Nothobranchius furzeri: one gene and its partners. The protein of the gene in region 2 interacts with the protein of the main gene of each other region in a biochemical or structural test. Links are inferred from orthologs where the notes say so. Each region holds a gene or a part of one and is shown on either strand. Other genes may lie near its edges. The genes, in order: dlst, siah2l and rbbp8.

Region 1 (3,650 bases), on a different chromosome or scaffold from region 2:
TCTCCTTTCTCGGAGAGTCTGTGTCTTGGGAGGGGCTAATTCCGTTAGCGGAGAAACCCTAGAACTTCAACAGGGTTAGAGACAGGAAAACAAACAATTAAAAAGAGAGATACAAGTGAAGAATGAGCAATACTGAAACAATTAGCAACCGTTTTTAATAGCTCTATTCCCCCACTATAGCTGTAGAGCCGTGATTTCATAGTTAACAAAAATATTTTTCTCAAGAGAATAATTTCAGCTCGTTGTTTCTTCCTGTTTAAAGCGTTTGAAAAGTGTTGATGGATTTCTGTGTTTTCCTGCTTTTATTCCTGCAGCAACATCACGGAGATGAGAAAGGTGTACAAGGATGCTTTCCTAAAAAAACACAACATCAAGCTGGGCTTCATGTCCGCATTCGTAAAGGCTGCTGCGTACGCTCTGACAGACCAACCTGCTGTCAATGCCGGTAAAGATTTTACCTCTGGAAACCTTCAACATGTTGGTGTTAGTTTTGGAACGTCTGCATGTGTGGCGTCAAGTCACGTCAAGTGTGTGTGTAGTGAAGAAAGTTTCAATGTATTATTTTTTAATTTCAGCAACCTCAAAGCCATCTCTAACTTATTTACTTCCTCTAGACCAGTGGTTCCTAACCTGGGGGTCCCCACCCCCACAAGGGGGCGCCAAAGCCTCTCAGTGGGTCGCCAGGGCCTCTCCACTTTAAGGGGTTAAAACGTCATTTATTACTTGTTTATAGCCCACATTTTGCTCACATTTTTTTTAATGAGTGAAAAGTTTACTGATATTAAGACAGGAAATAATTAGTACAGAAAAAGTAACACACTTTTAAGAACATTTTGCTCAGCTCACTGTTTTATTTTCAAGTGTCAAAAGTTCATTAAAGATAGGACTGGTTGATTAATCACAGCCTTTACAGTAAATAATCTAGTATAAACAGTATAGGGCTGCAGCTATCGAATATTTTTGTAATCGAGTACTCTATCGAATATTTTTTTCGATTAATCGAGTACTCTAATAAATTACCCTTTTGTATTTGTAAACCATTTTATCAAATAGCATGTTATAAAATATGAAAGACCTCTTAAAATGAGCAAGCTATTGCCAGTTATTCTTCAAGTTTTATTCAAAATTAGTTTTCAAAACTTCAGCACTTCAACTTTACTTCACAGTAAACAAATGGCTGTGCAAAAAATAAGTACACAACCTGAGCCGATTTTCCCCTCGTGCGAGAATCTGCTAGCCTGCAAGCCAGACAAAAACTAGGAGGATAACTGTTGAAGTAGCGCTGCGAGCGGCTGCGGCCCAAACAGAACCAGAACCGCTCACGGTGCATGCGCAAACAGCTCGCCGGCTGTTCCCTATTAACACACGTTCGTTTTAATTTCAACACTTTTTTCTCACACAATAACAAGGATTGTCGAGAAAGCGTGTTTGCCGTGGTTTTGTCAAATTATACTGATCACAAAACATTTATTTACTTTCTTTCGTTTTCCTCTCATAAATACCCATGTCCTCCTGCAGCAATCCCGAAGGACAACAAACATCAATAACACAATAAAAAGTCCGACGTTTTGTGTAAAAACTGCTATTTTTAGCACATTTTAAGTCCGACGTGTTGCTACCAGACGTACGGTGTGAGCTGAAACTGACTGCTACAAACGAAAAAGTCGCACAGTGTCCACAGAATATATAGAAAAACAGGCTAAAATGCATTATCTTGTAGAGGCTCCGAGTCCGCTTGCAGAAGAGACATTTACAGGTGCTGCAGCATGGAGGATGTGGTGTTGTGGTAGGCTTAATCCATTTTACAGTATTTACACTGGAGTACGTTTTCCGCCTAACGACGTGAAAAATGGTCCCACATCTTGACATTTTCTGTCTTTTTCGCACTCCACCGGGGTCCACGTTGTCCGCCATGGCTTAAGAGAAAGTTAAGTTACATTCGCTACTCGCGTGTGCAGTCCAGTGGGCATGTGCGTCACTTATTTCAGTCTGGGTGAAACATGACCACGGGCGACTGCAAAGCCACAAATTAATTAAATATGAATTAAACGAATCCTCGAGGCAGAGAATTTGACTCGAGGATTTTTTGTACTCGAATTATTCGAGGTACTCGAGGAATCGTTTCAGCCCTAAAACAGTAATATACACATTTAAGTACATTTTGCTCAGTGTATTTTTTATGTGTCAAACGTTTATTGGAAGAGAGAATGGGAGGGGGTCGTCAACAATTTTACTGGTAAAAAACGGGTCCCTTGGGAAAAAGGTTGGGAACCACTGCTCTAGACCACTCTGACCTATTTAGGTAGACCACAGTGAAGCTAGGGTGGTGCATGCTGATGCCTTTTAAAGATCTGAAATGCCCTGTGGGTTCACTTACCACAACTCTTAGCTTTGCATGTGACAGAAAGCGGTTCACAAGGAAAGAACTTGATCTTGCCAGAAATATAGTGGTGATTAATAGTCTAATCTGGAGAAGTTAAATCATAATAATCCTATTTTCTGTGTTTGTAGTGATTGATGATACAACCAAAGAGATTGTGTACAGGGACTATGTCGACATCAGTGTGGCTGTAGCTACACCGAAGGTAAGAAAAGTGGATTTCACTGAAAGGAAAAACAAAGAGCTAGAACGTTCGGCTATGTTCTCTTTTTCCAGGGTTTGGTGGTTCCCGTCATAAGAAATGTAGAGGGGATGAACTTTACTGACATCGAGAAAGCAATCAATTTGTTGGGAGAAAAGGTGATTATCGTATTAAAATTGTTTAAATTGTACACGTTTGCATGAAAAGTGATGAAATGTTTGCATAACTGGGTCTGGATGTTGTTTTTAGGCTCGTAAGAATGAGCTGGCTGTTGAAGACATGGACGGAGGCACCTTCACCATCAGCAACGGTGGTGTGTTTGGGTCCTTGTTCGGCACACCGATAATCAACCCTCCACAGTCTGCTATTCTGGGCATGCACGGGATCTTTGACAGACCGGTTGCAGTCGGAGGCAAGGTTTGTATCCTCTGGTCATTTGCTGAAACGTGTCTGCTTTTAAACAACTGTAGGTTTTACTCCATTATTTATGAGCAACCAGGCTACATTCTCAAGTAAACGGGGGGGGGTCACATTTAAATGTTGCATATGTTTACAAATTTAGCAAATAATTATTGGTCATTTTTCAGTGATTACTTTTCTTCCTCCTAGGTGGAGATCCGTCCCATGATGTATGTTGCGCTAACATACGACCACCGTCTGATCGATGGAAGAGAGGCTGTCACCTTCCTACGTAAGATCAAGTCGGTGGTGGAGGACCCCAGAGTGCTCCTCCTTGACATGTGAACCCTCGTCTGCTCCGGGCCCAACCAAACCACTTCCCACACCAACAGCGGCTGTGTAAACACTCAATGAACATTACCATAACTACAGTTGATGTATCGTCTTATTGGTTAACTAGGAAAATCTATTTCTGGCAACAGTTGGGTTGTGCAATGGACATTTGTAAGACTGGCAAGGATTAAAGGTTTGGTCCTGTTCTGGGTCTCTCTGAGGTTTCTGGTGCTGGTCGTTGGATCAAACAAGAAATTCTATAACTTATTTGCATTTGTCATTTTCTACGCGAAGCTTGAGAAAAGAAACACCTGTTGTGAGATGACACGCAATTAA
Region 2 (3,650 bases):
GCTTGTTCCATACGGTGGCAGATCGCTGCCCCCCCCACACGCACGAGCACATAAATGTGTTGGAGCTTATGACAGTGAGGAATATGATCAGTCACTTCGCTGCCCTTCTCGAGGGCTGTCATGTCGAAGTTCACACAGACAACCAGGTGGCGGCAGCCTACATAAATCGCCACGGGTGGAGTTCGATCCCTCCCACTATTGCGTGTAGCCACAGATTTACTGTGTTGGTCACATGTCCACCTGCTGTCCATCAAAGCCACCTACATTCTGGGGGTCCTGAATGTAGCTGCAGACATCCTGTCGAGAGGGGGACCCCACGACTCCGACTGGCGTCTGCATCCCGCACTGATATCACAGATCTGGATCAGGTTTGGGGAACCATTGGTGGGTCTGTTCGCGGCTCGCGAAAATGCTCAGTGTCACCTGTGGTTTTCCCTGAGTCCCCGGAACCACCACCCGCTCGGAGCGGACGCCTTCTCACACCAGCCCTGGCCTCAAACACTCCTATATGCGTTTCCGCCAGTCCCACTGATTCCCCGTCTCCTGGACCGAGTTCGGTCGGAGCAGCTCTCTGTAATTCTGATGGCTCCCAGACGCTTGTCCGCGTCATGTTTTCCAGACCTGCAAGTGCTAGTGTCCGGCTCCCTGTGGAGGCTCCCGTGGAGGGCGGACTCCCTTCTCCAGGCGGATGGGATAATCAAACATCCTCCAGAAATAGGCCAACGGCTGTAGGTCTGGCCGCTGAGCGGTCACGCTTAGAGGCTTCTGGGCTGCCGCATGATGTGGTGGCCACGATTCAGAGTGCGCGGGCGCCCCCTACCGTCGCATCTTATGCTGCTAAATGGGCAGCTTTCCAGAACTGGTGCACGGAGCGAAATGTTCAAGCGCTCTCCTGCCAGCTGGCGGATGTCCTATTGTTTCTGCAGATACTGATGGACAGGGGCCTCACATTCAGCACTATTAAAACATATGCTGCATCTATCTCATCCTGTCACCAGGGTTTTGGAGATAGATCTGTTTTCAATCATCCCCTCACAAAGCATTTTCTAAAAGGTGTCAGAAGGAACAGACCTGTGTCCCGCCCACTATTTCCCCAGTGGGACCTAACGGTGGTTCTGCGTGGCTTATCTGAAGCCCCATTTGAACCCTTGGACCAGGTCTCACTCAAGTTCCTGTCACTCAAAACTGCCTTGCTGCTGGCGCTGGCATCAGTCAAGAGAGTGAGCGACCTAACCGCCCTCAGTGGCTCCCGCATGCCTCAGGATCCGGGAAGATGGCGGGTCTGCGGTTTTATGCCCCAACCCAGCCTTTGTGCCCAAAAACATTAATGCTTCCTTCAAATCCAGGTCAATTTCATTGGCTGGACTTTTTCCTCCTCCCCATAATTTTGATGAGGATGCGGCTTCCCACCTTCTCTGCCCGGTGCGCGCGCTCGCACGACATGTGTCACGCACTTCAGGGATTTGCTGCTCACAAAGCCTGTTTGTGCACTACAGAGATTCTTCCCTTGGGCAAGCGCTGTCGACCCAGCGTCTTTCACACTGGCTTTGTGACGCCATTTCACTCGCTTACACATCATCAGGGCGGGATCCTCCTGAGATTTCCTCTTCTATGGCGCTCCACAGTGGTGTGTCGATGGAAGACATTTGTCAGGCTGCTTCATGGGGTTCTCCCTGTTCCTTTACTCGTTATTACTCACGAGATGTGTCTTCAGGCTCCATCACTTGTTCAGTGCTTGGACCTCAGCAGGCTGAGTGAAGGCATTATGGCACCACATCAGCCCTACTTGAATGAATTTCATCCTCTTGTGGATGATAATTTTAGTGGGGCCCCACTCTTCTCTCTGGTTGCCTCAGGCTTTTAAGCCCTGGGCTGCGGCTGAGCGTCCCTCACTAAAAGGAGACATGTTGCGTGTGTCCATTGGTTGAGCTAACCAGTGTGGCGTAAACCAATCTAGCTGCGCATTATTCCAATAGCAGCTAGCTTAAGGGCTAAGACTAGACGAAATAGAGCGTTGGTTACGTATTGTAACCCCAGATTCTATGAGTCTAGTTGCAGCCCTTAAGCCACTGTACCCACTGGTTCTGTTAGGACTAAGAGCCATTGGAGGCGAACAGTGGAGTTGCTCCACTTATATACCCACAAGGGGTGCCCACCATTGGTGGGCGTACATTTAAGCTCTTCATGATTGGCTGATGCTGAGATCATCCTTCCAATAGCAGCTAGCTTAAGGGCTGCAACTAGACTAATAGAATCTGGGGTTACAATACGTAACCAAAGTTCAGGATTCTGAAATCCTGGTCAGAGGATTCACACACAGAATCATGAAGTCAGGGTCAGAGGTCCTGTCGGGGGCTGAGGGTTCTGACCTGTAGTGTGGTGATGGACTTGTGGGCGTGCATCAGGTGAGGCATGACGGCCTCCAGTGAGCCGTGCCACTTGCACGTTGCTCCGGGACACGGACAGGTGTAGGGTCTGAACTCACAAACCTCCTCATGGTCAGGTTTCTCGCTGTGGTGGAGCGACAGCTGGCAGCCGGCTGATGAATACTGCAGCAGGATGGAAAAGACGGAGCAGCTTCAGCAACACTCCAAGATAAAAACGTTCAGACTTCCTCCTGAGCTTCTATTTAACCTGAGATGTTCCGACTGCTGCTATAAAAATGAACTAACGTTAATTATTAGTTAGCCATGAACAGGGCTAGTTATTAAAACTCATAAACAGGAATAGTTTTTAGTTACTAAAAAACTAGACTATTATTAATTTCTCATTAATAAGACAAGTTATTAGTTAGCCATGAACATGAATAGTTTTTTGTGACTAATAAAGATGACTAATTATTAGTTACTCATAACTAGGGTTGTCACGGTAACCGGTGTAGCGGTAAACCCCGGTAAAAAAGTTGACAATAATAATAACCGTCTTGTTTAAATATATATATTATTCCCATTTTCTTGTAGTTTCTCAAGAAAAACTATTTTTTTGGACATTTTACTTTTCTGTTTCTGGTGCTGTGAAGCTTGGAGGATTTTTACTGCTATTTTTTCACTTTTTGAGCATTTGTTATTATGTGTAACCATGGCAACAAGCTGGTTTACAATCGGGAGCAGCGGATTATCATTGGAAAGGCTGAAATAATACCTCAACTGAAGCCACAAATCCCAAATGAGCTAAAACGCAAGAAGCGTGGGTGAAGAGCGGGAGCAAAACGGAGATAAAGAGGAAATTCAAACCATCTCTTCCATCGATCGTAATGGAAAATGTGAGATCACTGGCCAACAAGATGGATGAACTCCAAGCCCTTTCAAGGACTCAGCCAGAGTATCGGCAGTGCAGTGTTATGTGTTTCACTGAGACATGACTGCAGGACCATATACCCGATTCCAGCGTCTCTCTGCCAGGATTCCTGATGGTACGAGCAGACGGAGATCTGTAGAGGAGCAGGAAAAGAAAACGAGGTGGAGTGGCAGTGCTTTTCAACAACAGATGGTGCCATCCAGGTCATGTTTCAGTGAAATGTCGTCTCTGCAGCCCAGATGTTGAACACTAGGCAGTAAGTTGTCGCCCATATTATTTGCCAAGAGAGTTCACCAGTGTTGTCTTGGCAAACGTTTATATTCCACCTTCAGCCATTGCTGAAAGTGCATGTG
Region 3 (4,175 bases), on a different chromosome or scaffold from region 2:
AAGGTGTTTTTAAATAACTGACCGTAGAAGAGCAAGTTGTCGCGCTGCCGCGGAGACATCTCTGCATATCGGAAGTGTTTCACTTTATCACCATGTTTCCGTTTCTTCAGCTTGTTTGGGACAGGAAGTGAGCTTGGCAGGACTGGTGAGTCTGGGATGAATCCTTCCTCCTGCTCCGGGCTTCCTACCTCTGAAGTAGGGCTGCTTGATTAGGAAAATAATCATCATCACAATTATTTTGGTGGAATCTGAAATCGTTACCGACTGAGTTGGGAAACACTAAAGTGCAGCAGCTTACTGGTCATTCAAACTGATGAAGGGATAAATTATGAGACAAAAAACATTTCCTCTGAACTGCTTTAATGCTCATCACCACAGCCTTACGTCTGCTCTAGAATAAAACCCACGGACACACCAGCTAATTAAACTTAATCTACCTGAACAATCAGCCACATAAAAAAACAGGCAGCACTAGTATAAACAAGCCTGGAGGCCCAAACAAGGAGTATGTGAATATAAAATGGAACAGCCGAGCCTGGAATAGAACCGTGTAGAAAAACATAACCTCTCACCAGAGAGGCATACGCGAGGCTTATGAAGACTCATGTGCTGCAGGTGTGTTTTGCCCTCATTCTGCCATCTTATGTTGCTCTAACCTTTTAAGACCTTTGAGTAAAATGTGACAAAACAATTTTAATAGTGTTATGTTTTTATTACATTATTTTTGTAATTGGAGTTAACTAAAATACAAACTGAATTATTTATATACTTGTTTGCTCTCCACACCCTCTACAGAGCTAAACCAGGAACTGAAACGTCACTGCTGATGCAGAACAAGTCTCTGAGGCAAAGCTCCTCAGTGGAACACGGCACTTATTATAGTCAGCTTTCAAATTTAGAAGAGTTCATTTTTGTAAACCAGAAGTGAAACCTCTCCAGGAGAAACAGTGTCTATCTGAAAAGTTTTACGCAACACTGGCTGCAAAAAAAAAAAAAAGAAACTAAAATGTTAACATTTGTAATAATTTTGAAACAACAACAACCCAAAAATCTAATCAGACTTTTAAGAAGAACTTACTGAGCTGATTTTAACTGTTGCAGTTCATTCAACAGCTTTCTGTTTTCTTCCTCCAGTCTGTTTCTCTCATTTTCTGAAGGAAGACAAACCGTAAACACAATTCTCACAAAGCATGATTGTGCCCAAAAACATCTTAGCTTGTGCTGCCCTGGTCTGTGTGAAACACTCACATAAAAACAACTCTTTACTCTTTAACACCAAATAATCTAGAGCTCAGATTAATCACCGGAACAAACTCACTTAGTTTTGTGACAATATGAAGGTTCTGCTCCTGGTTGGATTTCAGCTTCTCCTCAAAAACAGCACACTGATCACGCTCTGCTGCTCGGAGTCTGGGGACAGTAAACGCCAAAACACTAATGATACACACACAGTTACTTATAATAAAGTACACAAAGATGCATGATTATAACTGGACGCTATAACAGAAGATTACAAATCAGCAGGTTCTGGGATTTTCTAGGGAATGTTCAAATATGTTTATGTTTATTTATTTAGCAGACGCTTTTATCCAAAGCGACTTACAATTTATAACCTACAGGGCATGTTGTGATCTGTGGGGGAAACTGGAGTACGCGGAGGAAACCCACGCATGCATGGGGAGAACACGCAACTCCACGCAGAAAGGCCGCAGCCGAGTTTCGAACCTGCGACCTTCGTGCTGCGAGGCAACAGTGCTAACCACTGCGCCGCCATGCAGCCCATAGTCCAATAGCTGATGGGAAGAAACTGATCTTGTGCCATGAGGTAATGGTTCTGGTGGACTGTTGTCTGTGATTACAGGGCAGCACATGAAAAGGTTATTTTCAGGGTATGAGGAGTCAAGGTGAATCTCTAGTGTGCCTCAAGTCCCTGGAGACCCACAGATCCTGGAGAGAGGCCAGATTGAAGCTGGTAATCTCTACAATACCTCTGCCACACATTTCTGGAAAATTCTTATTTTTCTAGTTTGCTTGGTTTGTAAATGATTCACTTGAGACAAATCCATACCAGTCCCAAGTACAATTAATGTTGTCAACATGATGATGATGACCCAAGTGTGTGTTTGAGTCATTTACCTTTCCTCCAGAAGACCGATCGTGTCCTGCAGAGTTTTATTTTGCTCCTTAAGCTGTTGGTTGCGATTATAGAACACCTCCAGCTTCTGTGCATCTCTGTATAATTAAAACAACTTAATGAAACAAAACAATAAAGTGAGGGAAAGCGTGCCCTACTAGTGAACAAAAGCTGATACTCACAAGCAGCGGTCCTTTTTTAACTTGCTTACTTTTGCCTCCAGTTCTACAAACAGTCACAATCACAAATAGTGTTGGCATGTGCGAAAACCACTAAAACACGCATCAACACGATTAGATTAGTTCAGTTACCTTGAACTGTGCTTTGATGACACTCTCCAAGCTGTTTCCATAGAACTTCAAACAGATCAGCATGTCTGACTGTCCCACTGCTGTCTCCCGGACTGCTCATCCTCCATAGATGATAACAGGCTAGACCGGAAATATCTTCATTAGAGGTGGAATTTACAACATTCAACAGCTGATAAGCTACAACACACAACATATAACTAGTTATTCACACTAAAACACAAACAACGTCCTGTGGCATCACACAGCTGTTACGTTGTCGCTAAAACTAAACAATGTTACGTAAACATACGTAACGCACAAAGAACACAAATACGTACACTAAATGCTTCAAAGAAAGTCTTAAAAGCAGACAAACTGATACATTTGAAAACCTACATAGTAATGCTGTTGTCGAAGATCAAAATTTGCGCGCCGAAATGCATGATGGGAATCCTTCTTCTTTTGACGTCATTCTCGTGTATGTGCGACTCTGTCGCCCCCTGCTGTTCAAGCCGAGTAAATGTACCCATTAAACGTGGAGGTACCAAGCCCCCACAATATTAATGTCGATGGGAGGTACTTATGCAATTTGCTGTAACATAAAACAGGTGGTTTTTTTATTCTTATTTCTGCTTTTATTTTTTAGAGTACAAAACATAACCCAAAATCACAAAATAACATTTACAAAACAGATTATTTAATTGAGGTGACTGAGGCAACATAGAGAAGCATGTCTGAAACAGTGATATTGGTGGGTTAGCTTTGAGGTAAGACAGCGAGCGATGTCAAAGGTTAAGAGACTTTAATTGTATTGACTTAGTGCCTTCATTAAGTAGTGCTATTCACAATTGAGTTTAATCATTCCAGTTCCTAATATATCAACATTTAGCAGTGATTTAATGATGTAGTGTATCAGATACACAAATACAAACTGACTAGTGACATCACGGTCTAAGACGCTAAGCATGTAGCACTGTATGGCACCATTTTGATGGTTTCTATCTTAAGACATTTCCTAATACATAAACAACACTGTTGTTGCTCATTCATTCTCATTAAAGCAGGTGCAAACAAATTTAAATATCGTTTTCTGCTTGTTACCATAACACTTCTGGCCAAAAATAAAACAATGGTTCCAACATTTATCTCAACCAAACTGAAGCTGCTTCGGACTATCAGGAGAAACAACTAAAAAACAAAAACACTCTTAATAATGCGACCAGAAATTAAACAGACTGATTTAAACTAAAACGCAGAATGGTTGTTGGTCGGAGACGCGAGCATAAAGCTCCGTCTTTTTCCTGAAATATAAAAAAGGTAAGACACAATGCAAACACTGCATCACTTAAAAAACAATAACAGTTATCTAAATGCAAAGCAAGGGAAAAGTTGAGTTTGACCTGCTCTTCGACATGCAGGTTTATTTTTGCATGAACAAACTTTTCTTCTTTCACATTGATGTCATGGTCACTGATGATTCAGCATTATAGATTATTACTCTTTTGTTCCTTTGGACGTGCGCCTTTTGTTGACTTTGCATCTGTCACAGCAGGTAGATCAAGCTAGCGTTAGTGCGAGTGTGTGTGTTTACATAAACACACATGCAGTCATCATCATTTACATATTTCCCCAGAATAACATAACAAATGACATTTCAAAACTATAAAACTAAAACAAAACTCCCTTTACATTTCAGAGTTTAAGCTATAAAACCTGCATGACAGTCCACAGAAGGTGTGCCTGGAGGCTTT

Evidence for each region.
Region 1: the proteins of siah2l (region 2) and dlst form a complex in vitro, tested with the Homo sapiens proteins (2 studies listed by BioGRID, with this or other methods). The link is inferred for Nothobranchius furzeri from reciprocal best matches to the Homo sapiens genes SIAH2 and DLST.
Region 3: the proteins of siah2l (region 2) and rbbp8 form a complex in vitro, tested with the Homo sapiens proteins (2 studies listed by BioGRID). The link is inferred for Nothobranchius furzeri from reciprocal best matches to the Homo sapiens genes SIAH2 and RBBP8.

Annotation. Positions count from the first base shown.
Region 1 is NC_091758.1:32,793,874-32,797,523, forward strand, and holds part of dlst (dihydrolipoyllysine-residue succinyltransferase component of 2-oxoglutarate dehydrogenase complex, mitochondrial), read left to right. Parts: intron 1-314; coding exon 315-445; intron 446-2,511; coding exon 2,512-2,585; intron 2,586-2,656; coding exon 2,657-2,740; intron 2,741-2,831; coding exon 2,832-2,999; intron 3,000-3,191; coding exon 3,192-3,326; 3' UTR 3,327-3,650. UniProt on the Homo sapiens protein: Dihydrolipoamide succinyltransferase (E2) component of the 2-oxoglutarate dehydrogenase complex. The 2-oxoglutarate dehydrogenase complex catalyzes the overall conversion of 2-oxoglutarate to succinyl-CoA and CO(2).
Region 2 is NC_091750.1:26,755,805-26,759,454, reverse strand, and holds part of siah2l (E3 ubiquitin-protein ligase Siah2), read right to left. Parts: intron 2,550-3,650; coding exon 2,370-2,549; intron 1-2,369. UniProt on the Homo sapiens protein: E3 ubiquitin-protein ligase that mediates ubiquitination and subsequent proteasomal degradation of target proteins.
Region 3 is NC_091747.1:41,227,000-41,231,174, forward strand, and holds the start of rbbp8 (DNA endonuclease RBBP8), read right to left. Parts: upstream 2,912-4,175; 5' UTR 2,821-2,911; exon of another isoform or gene 2,763-2,820; intron 2,566-2,762; 5' UTR 2,546-2,565; coding exon 2,446-2,545; intron 2,360-2,445; coding exon 2,317-2,359; intron 2,233-2,316; coding exon 2,137-2,232; intron 1,411-2,136; coding exon 1,319-1,410; intron 1,152-1,318; coding exon 1,079-1,151; intron 205-1,078; coding exon 23-204; intron 1-22. UniProt on the Homo sapiens protein: Endonuclease that cooperates with the MRE11-RAD50-NBN (MRN) complex in DNA-end resection, the first step of double-strand break (DSB) repair through the homologous recombination (HR) pathway.